3 linked regions of the Mytilus edulis genome follow. The protein of the gene in region 1 purifies or fractionates together with the protein of each later gene. This does not show direct contact. Links are inferred from orthologs where the notes say so. Each region holds a gene or a part of one and is shown in the gene's direction. Other genes may lie near its edges.

Region 1 (3,763 bases):
AATCGGTCTTAAATGCAGTTTAATCTTATCAAAATAGATGTAAGGTGTGTTTATTATTAATGTTCTGAATCACAAATCCGACAAGCTTTCATTTAAACCATTACAACTGAAATTTCCATTAGAAATGAAAAAAATTAGCATGGGTGTACTGAAAATTCGACATTTTTTTTTAAATGATGCGAGATTTCCTCACGGGAGAAAGGAAGAAAGACCATTCACAATATGCCTTACATTTGTTTTTTTTCCTCTTTTAATTAAATTTAAACTTTCTAATTTAGAGTTTATTAGATACAAATATTCCCTGTGTAGGAACCCCCCCCCCCCCTCTTTCCTCCCTTTTTTCTTAGTTACCATCACTGAGATCCAAATTATTGACAGTCAGCTATATATATAGTTCCCAAATGTATCAAAATCACAGTACTCGATTTTTCGGTACTGACATGATTTATAACGCAATTGTCTTTAAAATAATTGTCTGTTGATGAATTTAGAAAGTATCAAAAACTAAGGTTCACGATACACTTCCCGGCAAATGTGACCGGCGGCTGTATCTAGATAGATTTGGAGTAACCGTTTAGATCCCTTTTGTCAAATATATGCAGCTCGTTACATATTCAAGAACTTAAGCTATAAATATTTTGATTTCACCTTTTTCGATCATTGAACGTTTATGTTGAAGGAATAACCGAATGGACTGAATATATATATATATACCGTCTTAGATAAGGTTTTTCAGAAAGCTAATGCTTGTTATGTGATCCGGTATCAGTATAAAATTCGGGATACAGAAGAATTTTTTTATCATTATTTGTTATTTTAAGAAAATTATTGCTAATAACACAAAAAAACATCAAATTTCAAATAATTTACGAATTTTTATAGTTTTATTTGAATAGAAAAAAGTTTGTTTAGATTTGTTTACGCTTTTTAACAAGTCCCACAATGCATTGCTGAAATATTTTTCAAAATGGAGCACATAGTTGAATTTCCTATGAAATAGCATCACAGTATCCAGGGAAACAACATCTTTCTTGTATGATTGTATACGATCAGCCTCAAAAACTTTAAAGATCTACATATGAGTCTACATTTTCACTGGTTTTTATAATTTTAAATCCGCCGAATCTGATCAAAATATTGTGTAAACATGTCGCAAAAAAAAGGGGGGACGAAATTCTTCGTTACATGTTAGCATTTGCAAAATTTTCTCGATTAAATTTTTGTAGGCTTTTGATAACAAATGTTTTCAACAACAGAATGGGCATGGTACAAAAGACAGAACGATCTTTAGTACTTTACAAGTGGAACAAGATACATTTTGAATGACAAAAGTTTATTTTTTCCATTTTCTACCATTTTTGGAGTGGTAAAAAAAAACAATGAGACAACACTCCATCCAAGTAGCAATTAATAAAAGTAAACCATTATAGGTCAAGGTACTTAGGGTTCTCACTTAGGATTTTTTTTAAGTCCAGGGACTCGTCATTTTTGGCCATGGTCACAAAACAATGATCATCAGTCAGAGCACTCAGGCAGAGCTCAGACATAAACAAGTCGATTTTTGTTTTTGACTTAAAGAAGTTGAAACATGTATTTATTATAAAAATGTGTTTTCAATTTTAGACTTATCTTAGTCAGAAAATGACAGACTTGTTTAGGTCTATTTATTGTGATTAAAAAACTTAACTATAATTTTACTTGGTGGCCAAAGTACACCACCTGTGACAGCAAAAACCCGTCTGAGAGTTCTCAAGGACTTGAGCTATCTATATTTAATTATCTAATTGAACATCCTTACTAAACACAGATGTTTTACCGCATTAAGTGTGGTTCCAGGTGGTTGCATTGTATGGTTAATTAACATTATCTCCGATTTTTTAGACTCTCATTCATATTTTTCTTTAGAAGACAAAGCATTGTCTTTTAATGTTGTCATTATTTGATTTCGATGCATGACCTTTTTATAAATATGCGTGGGTCTTGAAGTTAACCAATTTTGATAACTTATCGACTTGTCAATGCTTGTAGGAGTCGATATTTGCAACTTTTTGATTCTGGTCAATTATTTCTTGCTTAACAATATTGACTTATTAAGGTCGTATTTTGTCTTGCATTAAAGGGAGAAAAATCCTAAAACTAAAAAATTTAGACCTCTATGAGTCAAAAGCAGATTCAGACTTATTTATGTCTGAGCTCTGACTGATGGTGAGTTCAACCGTCAGAAGAAAATATTTTACTAAAATTTAATTTATCATTTTAGTCTCCATGACCTGATAGTGCAATGAAACTTTTGCTATAAAATGATGATATATGTGTTCAGTTTATACAAAATATATCAATTTTGCTGCTTCTTTGGACTTGTGTTTGAAAATGGTGATACCGTATGGCCTTCATCACGAATTCTAGACAGTTCGGCACCCAGACAAATCGGTACCCGGACAAATCGGCACCTACCAAAGACAAATCGGCACCCGTGAAAGACAAATCGGCACCCAGACAAATCGGCACTTAGACAAATCGGCACCTCACATAGACAAATCGGCACCTTATAAATTATTTATCTTTGATCTATATATAGTGAACCAAAAATTATGTTTGAGTGTTATTTATTTGTCTCCTGCACTATTTATAACATTATTGTCAATATTGGACATTGTTTCTTTGAATATGTATCTTATTAAGTGGTTTATTCCTTTTAGTTATTTGTTCGGCACCCAGACAAATCTTTGAATATGTATCTTATTAAGTGGTATATTCCTTTTAGTTATTTGTTTGTGCACAGGACTGTACTGCAGCTTAGTCGTTTTGATAGGTGTATTATTTGTGTGAATTCTTTTTTCTGACTTTATAGATTTCACCACACATGTACTTGGAATGTGCATGTACTAGTTTTAATGTAATCCATAATTCTGTTACCATTGTATCCAAAATCAATAAAACACATGTAGAATATTAATAATATTTATTTATTATATCTATTATATATTATATTCAACAGTTTATGCATACATGTAATAAATGTAATAAATAATAAATAATAATAAATAATAATAAATAAGCTGTATTTAGAGTCTGCAAAGTATATTTTTAACCGACAAACAAAACATTTTTAACAATACAACACATAATACACAGCACAAAATGAAGCACTAAAAGCATGGTTCATGGTTGTAATAAACATGATAAACTAGGTCAAAAGCATACTATAGGTATGAACACAAAGGTTAAATACTGAAATCATAACATAACATATAGACAAGCACTATAAGTCTTAACACTCAAAGTCACTTTGGTGGTGGTCCGTAAACACTGGCACACTCCTTAAGGAGTCTAGACGCGGAGATGCTGTTGTTGCAATACTCGTCCCACAAAGCAAAAAGACGGCCCTGGGTCTGTCTACTCTGTTTGCGCTGGTACCTTTGGAGCTTGCCTTCAGACACTAACTTAAGCACCCGGATATATAAACGTGTATATTCTAATTTCATGCGTGAGAGAGACGATAACAACTAAGGCAATAAAACATAATCAATTACAAAAGAACAATACAAAAAAGGCATCTAGCTGTTGTTTCGGTCTTTTGAAAAAAAGTTATACAGCTGTCCGCTTACAAATCTTATTGAGCGTTCTTGATGGAATCAATTTCATTAATATGTATAGATAACAAACATACCTCTTTCTTTATCATGACAGCTATCACAGACCCTGGTTCTGCTGGGTGGACATGCTCTTTCATACCGGGTTTGAAGTTGTCACCATCTTGAAT
Region 2 (3,763 bases), on another chromosome or scaffold:
GTAGACTGGTTCGAAAGACGCAAAACTGAAAGTCCACAATTTCAATTCTGAATCTAATGTTGACAATTGAATTAAAAAAATGCACGATGAGACATGAAGTTATTTGATCCTACACATCATCAGCTGGCTGCAGAATTCCATAACGAAAAATTTATTTTTTCACAAATCTAATTGTGAATTTTCAGCGTTGGATAATGGCCAATTACATGAGCAAGCACATGTTGTTATCAAAGGTGATTGTGGTGCCATTGATGTGTCACTTGGTTAATGTTTCTCAGTATGAATCGGCATCTGAAGCCACGAGTGCCAATGAAAGTACCAGACATCACGAACAGGCAGAACACACACAACATTTCATCGATAAATTACAGAAGCTGTATACTGTTATGAAAGATATGGGCAATCTATAAATGGGAGAGACTGATGACCTTTTTACACTAGGTACATAACAAAATGTGTTGCCAACTTAACTATGCGGTATGGGCTTTGTTCATTGTTGAAGGCCGCACGGTGACCTATAGTTGTTAATTTTTGCCAGACTGACATACATAATAAAATGTTTTAACATACCAAATATAGTTGACCGATTTCATATATAATTAGAAGAAAAAAAACATGAGAAACTGGGAAATGGTTGTGTGCAGTAGAAAATTTATGGGTATGAGATTAACTTAAGTTGGGTCGACTGTATGAGAAGGATATATGACAGAAGGAAACTATGTCAATATATATAATGGAATTTGATGCGACTGTTATACAAGTGAGAGTCAAGTTAAGCTAGCTATAAAACCAGGTTCAATCCCCCATTTTCTACATAAGAAAATGCCTGTACCCTGAAGTCGGGAATATGACAGTTGTTTTGAATTCGATTGATATGTTTGAGCTTTCTATTTTGCCATTTGATATAAGATAAGATAGATAAGATATATTTTATTTCCAATTAAGAGCCCACAAGGGGCATTTAGAGAATACAAGTATAAGGAAAAAGAACATTGATTAGCATAGATACATCATATAATTTACATACCATGACAATCACGATACAATTAGACTGTAAATAATAAAACCCTTGGTCTATAATATATAAATATATTTATATGAGAAATTAATACATCTAACATCATATTGACTTGAATAAATTTTCCAACCGAGCATTAAGAATGATCACAGCTTAAATACATAAATATTTTTTTGCTGATATAATAATTGTTCTTGTAATCCTCGAGAAATCGTGGTACCGTCAACCCTCTATAATATAAACTTGTTTGATAGATTTAACGATGCCGCCGCCGGATCACTATCCTTATATAGAGCTTTCTACTGCTTGACAACGATTATAAATTTCGGAGGTGTACCTTATATGGAGGAAGTTATACAAATATCACGAGTTATCTACCGTAATGGGATTCTCCAATCTAAGAAAGCACAAAACGACCCGCATTCCACAGCGGTCTGTATCCAGTGGTGAATATGTATACAAATCTTTGAAAAATATCAACTACAAGCTATCACAATGAAGGTAACTATCTAAACAGTTTGATGTACTTTAATGGTCAAGCACCAATGAAAATAAAATATTTATATATACCCAAAAGTCGACACTGAAAGAGGTCAAAACAAAAGAGCATTTTGACTTTTTTTGCCATTTTGGTATAATTTTTTCATTTTTGTGTCTGGATAAATTTTATGATTTTCCGATTTCATAATTCTTATCAAGGTATGAAAATGTTTAAATATGCCAACCCTCCCCTTACCATTGACAATACATATATGGCTCTTGTGTAAGGTTTGTCAATTTTATTTAAAATCTGATATCTGATGGGAAAGCAAACTGGGATCAGATTAAAACAGACATAAATATGATAACAAAGGACATCCATAATCATATACACGATATGCCAATAGATAAAACCTGGCAAACCTTCAAGAACGGTGTACAAGCAACAATTGACACCAACGTACCATCTAAAATGATAAAGAAAAAGCACTCTGTCCCATGGTTAAACAGAAAACTGCGCAAAATGCTAAAACGGAAAGCTAGGTTGCACAAACATGCTAGAAAAACTGGAAGTTACAAAGAATATAAACAATTCCAAAAAGACTGCAAACGCCAATTTAGAAAAGCAGAATGGAACTATATTAATGACATCATCAATGCAGGTTTTGAAAAGAATAGTTCTAAACCATTCTGGAACTACATGAAAGCAAAGAAACAAGATAATATAGGAGTAGCACCACTAAAGTCAAATGGAGGCCTTACAAACGACAGCAAAGAAAAGGCAGAAATTCTAAACAACCAATTCAAATCAGTATTCACTAAATTAGATCCGAACTCACAAATACCACCACTAAAGAAAAGATCAACTTCAAATATTTCAAAATTGGACATAACATCAGAAGGAGTACATAAATTATTGAAAAACGTAAATCCATCCAAAGCAATGGGACCAGACGGAATACCAAACACTGTCCTTAAAACATGTGCAGAAGAACTCGCACCAAGTATATCCGCCATCTTTCAAAAATCAATTGACACAGGCACTCTCCCTGAAGATTGGTTAAGTGCAAACATAGCTCCAGTATTTAAGAAGGGGGACGTCCAGGCAGCTGAAAATTACAGACCAGTCTCACTGACCTGTGTATCATGTAAGCTTTTGGAACACATCATCTGTAAACACATCCTTAAACATCTGGAAAAGCACAAAATACTGACAAATTTAAATCATGGATTCAGATCAGGTTACTCTTGTACAACACAGCTCTTAGTCACAACAGAAGACCTACTAAAGAGCTTCGACAGTGGCATTCAACTTGATATGGCTATACTCGACTTTTCAAAGGCTTTTGATACTGTGCCACATAACAAACTTCTGGCAAAACTAAACAGCTTCGGAATAGATGGAAATCTGAACAAATGGTTAGCAGCATTTCTGCAAAAACGATCAATGCGGGTTGTCGTAGAAGGTGAGCACTCAGAATATGCCCACGTAGACTCTGGCGTACCACAAGGCACAGTACTAGGACCGCTGCTTTTTCTATGCCACATCAACGACCTCCCGGAAAGCGTAAAATCTCAAGTTCGTTTATTTGCAGATGACTGCCTACTTTATCGAGAGATCAAAAACACAAAAGACCACCAAACTCTCCAAGAAGATCTAAAAGCTCTGGAAGTATGGGCACTAAATTGGGGAATGAAATTCAACGCAAAAAAATGCTATATAATGAGCTTCAAACAAAAATCAACACACTTCTACCAACTAGACAACCACATACTAGAACAGGTACAAACTAATCCTTACCTAGGTCTTAACATATCTGATGACCTAAAATGGACCAGCCACATAGGGAAAACAACAAGCAAGGCAAGCTGTACACTGGGGTTCCTGAGAAGAAACTTACGCCAGTGCCCCCAAGAGTGCAAAAAACTTGCCTACTTAGCCATGGTTAGATCCGTACTAGAATACGGTGCTGTCATCTGGGACCCATTCACCATCAGGGAAATAGAAAAAATAGAAAGCATACAGAAAAGAGGAGCACGATTCATTCTGCACGACTATAAATCCAGAGACACCGGATGCGTCACAAATATGCTTTCTAAGCTAAAACTGCCACCTCTCCAAGAGCGAAGGAAACATCAGAGGCTGACTATGTTCTACAAAGTGGTTGAGGGATTGGTGCCGGCTATTGATCCAACAGATTATCTACAAAAGACAAGAAATAAACGCCAAGTGAAAGCAAAAAACTTTAGTGACTTCCAATATTC
Region 3 (3,763 bases), on another chromosome or scaffold:
GATTGTTTTCATTCCTGTCTCAATATCAACCAAATACTCCAATATTTTTTCAATAATTTTGGCCATACGGTCATGCAGGATCTGAAATGGCACACTGATCGATGATGATGTCTAACACCGCTGCATGAGCATTTCCTGAAGTGGATTGAGATTATAAAAGAATTAAATGATTAATCACATGCAAAGTGATTTGCAGTTTTTAAGTATATATAGTCTTAACATTGTAAACTTCTGAAGATGAATGAAGAATAAGAATTGAAACAAAAAAAAATCAAAAAAAAAGAGTAGAATTGATACTTCAAATGAAGAACATTAATAATATATTACATGTGTGTTATATGGGATAAAAATGAGGATATAAGTAACTGAGACCAAACACTAACACATTTGTAAAATTGTCATTTTTAAACAATCTAAAATATGTTTAAACTGAAACTAACACAAAGTGAAAAGGCAAAATTTCGTCTTCCACAATTGAGAAATGTCTATTCCACTACGCGAATCTTAATGTTACCGTAATTTTAGAGAATTAATAGTTGAGGATCCTGGATTTAATCATATCTTTATTTTCATCTTAATTCATACTTTTATTCACATTTTTATTCACATTTTTGTATGGTTAAAGTATCTCTTATAATCTATCACAGGAGACATTTGAACAAATAATCGCCGAGTACTTAGTGAGATCAGAAGAGGCAAACGGTTCTAGATAAACTGGACAATTTGAATAACCAGCGATATCTTTATACATCATCAAATATTATCATGTGAGTAATACATCATATGTTACAGTGAGGTATGGATTTTTGTTGCCTGTTTGAAACTAATTTAGTGTGAGAACCAGGCGTAATTGACTTTGAGCACGGTAAACTTATCATGACGAAAAGCGGTCAATAGTATGAACAAACAACAGATTTTTCTGTAAAACAATATTTCCCCGTGATTTTTTATTTTATTTCTGATTCTTCCATAGTATGCTATCTGAGGCTTTTGTTACATTGACTCAGTTTGTTTCATTGACATTTGTCCCGAGTGAATATCTAGAAGTATCATTTGTAACCCATTTGTAATACTAGATAAACAAGTTCCTAGGGAAATTCCCATGTTCTACCCGATGATAAGCCCTTTCCAATATTTTGTCAATGAGTATTGTGGCTGTATTATGGCTGCAATAAATTAATATATATATAAGCACCTGATATATTGTTACTTTAAACTTTATCTACTAAGCACACTTATATTATTGATCACATGTGTTATCATACTTAAATAAGAACAAAACTATTCATGACATTTAAAACAAATGTACTAAACATGTGCACACTTTATATGAAACAATTAATATTAAGGAATGAAACAATGAGGAGATTAAATATGCTCCAGGACAACGATTGATAGCCTTATTATGGAAAGCGCAGCTAAAGTGTTAAACACAGGGATCGTTAATGTTCTTGCTTCAAATGTATCAAACAACACAGGTTTATTATTCCCACATTTTAAATTGAAGGTAAACTATAAATATCTATCATCTATGACACAGTAAGATATTTTCCGGAGACAAACCGTCATCGACTTGAAATTACTTTTCTCAACCTAAGTTTTCTCCCTTAGATAAACACATTCCATGACAGCAGTAATATTTGTAAATTGCTCAGTTGATCACTTAAATTACAACTGATAGAAATGGCAGATGATTTTGATTTTGGCGAATCAAAGAATGCTAAGGTAAATTTAGGTTATACCTGTCAAAAAAAACTGTTTCCTACACGTAAAAATTATAACCTAATCATGAATTTATAAAAATATCTTTGACATGTTTGATACATTTCTGTGAGGTTTTTTTTAGTTAGAATTTTGGCTTTAGGTAAAAGTAGAAGGAATTGAGAGTAGGGAGAGGGAAAAAAAGTAGGAAAGGGGGAAGGTTAGAAACCAAGATACTCCTTGCCCCCTTTTTATTACAATGTAGCTATAGAGGGTAACGAAAGGGTACCCAAATTGCACCGAGTACCCAAATTGCACCTATTTAGAAAAAATTGCAACGGAAATCTTACAAGATTTCCTAGAGACTAAACAATTTGTATTTTTATGATTCGATACTATGCACGTCTTTCAACATAGGTAAACATATTTAGATATACACAAAACGTTCACAGTCTTTATCAACAGATGGACTGTTTACTGAAAAAGCAAAATGTACGAAAACGTCACCATGCGACGTCATCAAAACGTCATCTTTTTAAAATTAGCAAATACAATATATTATAAGTATCCATTTCGTAAAATATGAGGAGTAAGCATGGACGAATATCCAATTGTTCAAAATATTTGAAGAAATTAAACAAAAGCTCGGTTATTAGACTTTTGACGATGTGAATTTAAGCATGGATGCAATTTGGGTACTCCTCATTACAGAATCATGGATAGTTTGGAGGTTGATTCAAACCCATTTTTTTATGACTCAATATGGATTAAAAATCAAAATGGTGTACCTATACAATAAAGAAGGATAAGGCTACAAAATAAACCCAGTATGGACATTTTTTTCTTGATCATAAAACAACGTAGGTGAAAAAACTGTCAAAATAGGTGCAATTTGGGTACCGTCACGTTAGAAATGCCAGGCGTCAAACAACCATTTGCAGCTACCGTTAGCATCAAATTGGTTAAAGTTTTACCTTGACTTGTCAAAATTTCCCTATCAAAATTTGTTAGAGGTTAAAAATAATAATCTTTTGTGTCAATTTTGGAAAAAATGAATGTGATACATTTGTAAGTCAAAATTAGTTGATTTTTATTTTGTCTACAAAAAAAGTGTACATTTTATCGTCATGCACCAAAGAACTTTTACCACTATTTATCATGAAGGTACCCCCATTACTACTGTCATGTATGTGTCTTATCATTTTATTTTGATTATAGGGTACTGCTAAAACAGGGAGAAGAGCCCAACAGAAAACAGCAAATCCACCAGATGCTCCTGATTTTGAAGCTAGCGTAGAAAACTCACCAAAGGCACCAAAGTCAAGACAGCCGGCTGGAAGACAAGAACCTGTAGGTTTTCTTTATAGTCAGACAACATTTTGACATTAAAAGAAAAAAATGTCACATTTTATACATGAATTACCCCAAAACAAAACATTAATGAATTTACATATATAAAATAAGGATTTATATAACTATCAGTCACATTGAAATGAAGATCCTGTGTTCATGTTTTACTACTAATATATGTATATGACAAAGCTCAGCTGACACTCATGTTACATATTTAAACATATTATATCGTGAATAACATTGGTAGATTTAATGATTATCAAAACAGAAGGTAAAATCAAGTACTAACAAATCATCAAAAGTCAAAAATTGACTCCAGATTTGTATTTGAATCAAATTACTATGTATGAAATATTGAAAATGATGTTGACATGTAACACCTTAATCTAAAAAAAGTGTGTGCCTGTCTGATATTGCCACTCCAGCTGTGCATAGTGTCCTATGGGCACATATTCTTGTTATAACATGCCATAATTATAAGCAACCTGAATTTAGTAAGAATATATAATTTGAATATCATCATTATTTTACAAGTCAAAGATACTTTCTACTCTCTTGAATGGTTTTATATACAAATTTAGGAAACAAGATACATTTGTAGATTTCTTTAAGTCATGTAAGTGTTTTAATATTTAGCACAAGTTCAGAAACAATTATTGTATATATATGCTACCAAAAAAGAATAATCTTATCCATTTTAAAGATCTGT

Evidence for each region.
Region 2: the proteins of intraflagellar transport protein 140 homolog (region 1) and WD repeat-containing protein 19-like purify together in Homo sapiens (co-immunoprecipitation; 3 studies listed by BioGRID and IntAct, with this or other methods). This does not show direct contact. The link is inferred for Mytilus edulis from reciprocal best matches to the Homo sapiens genes IFT140 and WDR19.
Region 3: the proteins of intraflagellar transport protein 140 homolog (region 1) and intraflagellar transport protein 43 homolog A-like purify together in Homo sapiens (affinity purification with mass spectrometry; 3 studies listed by BioGRID and IntAct, counting the BioPlex papers as one, with this or other methods). This does not show direct contact. The link is inferred for Mytilus edulis from reciprocal best matches to the Homo sapiens genes IFT140 and IFT43.

Annotation. Positions count from the first base shown.
Region 1 is NC_092352.1:66,730,535-66,734,297, forward strand, and holds the start of intraflagellar transport protein 140 homolog, read left to right. Parts: upstream 1-939; 5' UTR 940-1,033; intron 1,034-3,284; coding exon of another isoform or gene 3,285-3,506; intron 3,507-3,670; coding exon of another isoform or gene 3,671-3,763. Other genes in the region: uncharacterized protein, read right to left, coding at 3,285-3,506, 3,671-3,763. UniProt on the Homo sapiens protein: Component of the IFT complex A (IFT-A), a complex required for retrograde ciliary transport and entry into cilia of G protein-coupled receptors (GPCRs).
Region 2 is NC_092351.1:26,545,103-26,548,865, forward strand, and holds the start of WD repeat-containing protein 19-like, read left to right. Parts: upstream 1-1,402; 5' UTR 1,403-1,513; coding exon 1,514-1,519; intron 1,520-3,763. UniProt on the Homo sapiens protein: As component of the IFT complex A (IFT-A), a complex required for retrograde ciliary transport and entry into cilia of G protein-coupled receptors (GPCRs), it is involved in cilia function and/or assembly.
Region 3 is NC_092346.1:63,096,722-63,100,484, reverse strand, and holds the start of intraflagellar transport protein 43 homolog A-like, read left to right. Parts: upstream 1-1,351; 5' UTR 1,352-1,405; coding exon 1,406-1,507; intron 1,508-1,578; exon of another isoform or gene 1,579-1,683; coding exon of another isoform or gene 1,684-1,725; intron 1,726-2,919; coding exon 2,920-3,051; intron 3,052-3,763. UniProt on the Homo sapiens protein: As a component of IFT complex A (IFT-A), a complex required for retrograde ciliary transport and entry into cilia of G protein-coupled receptors (GPCRs), it is involved in ciliogenesis.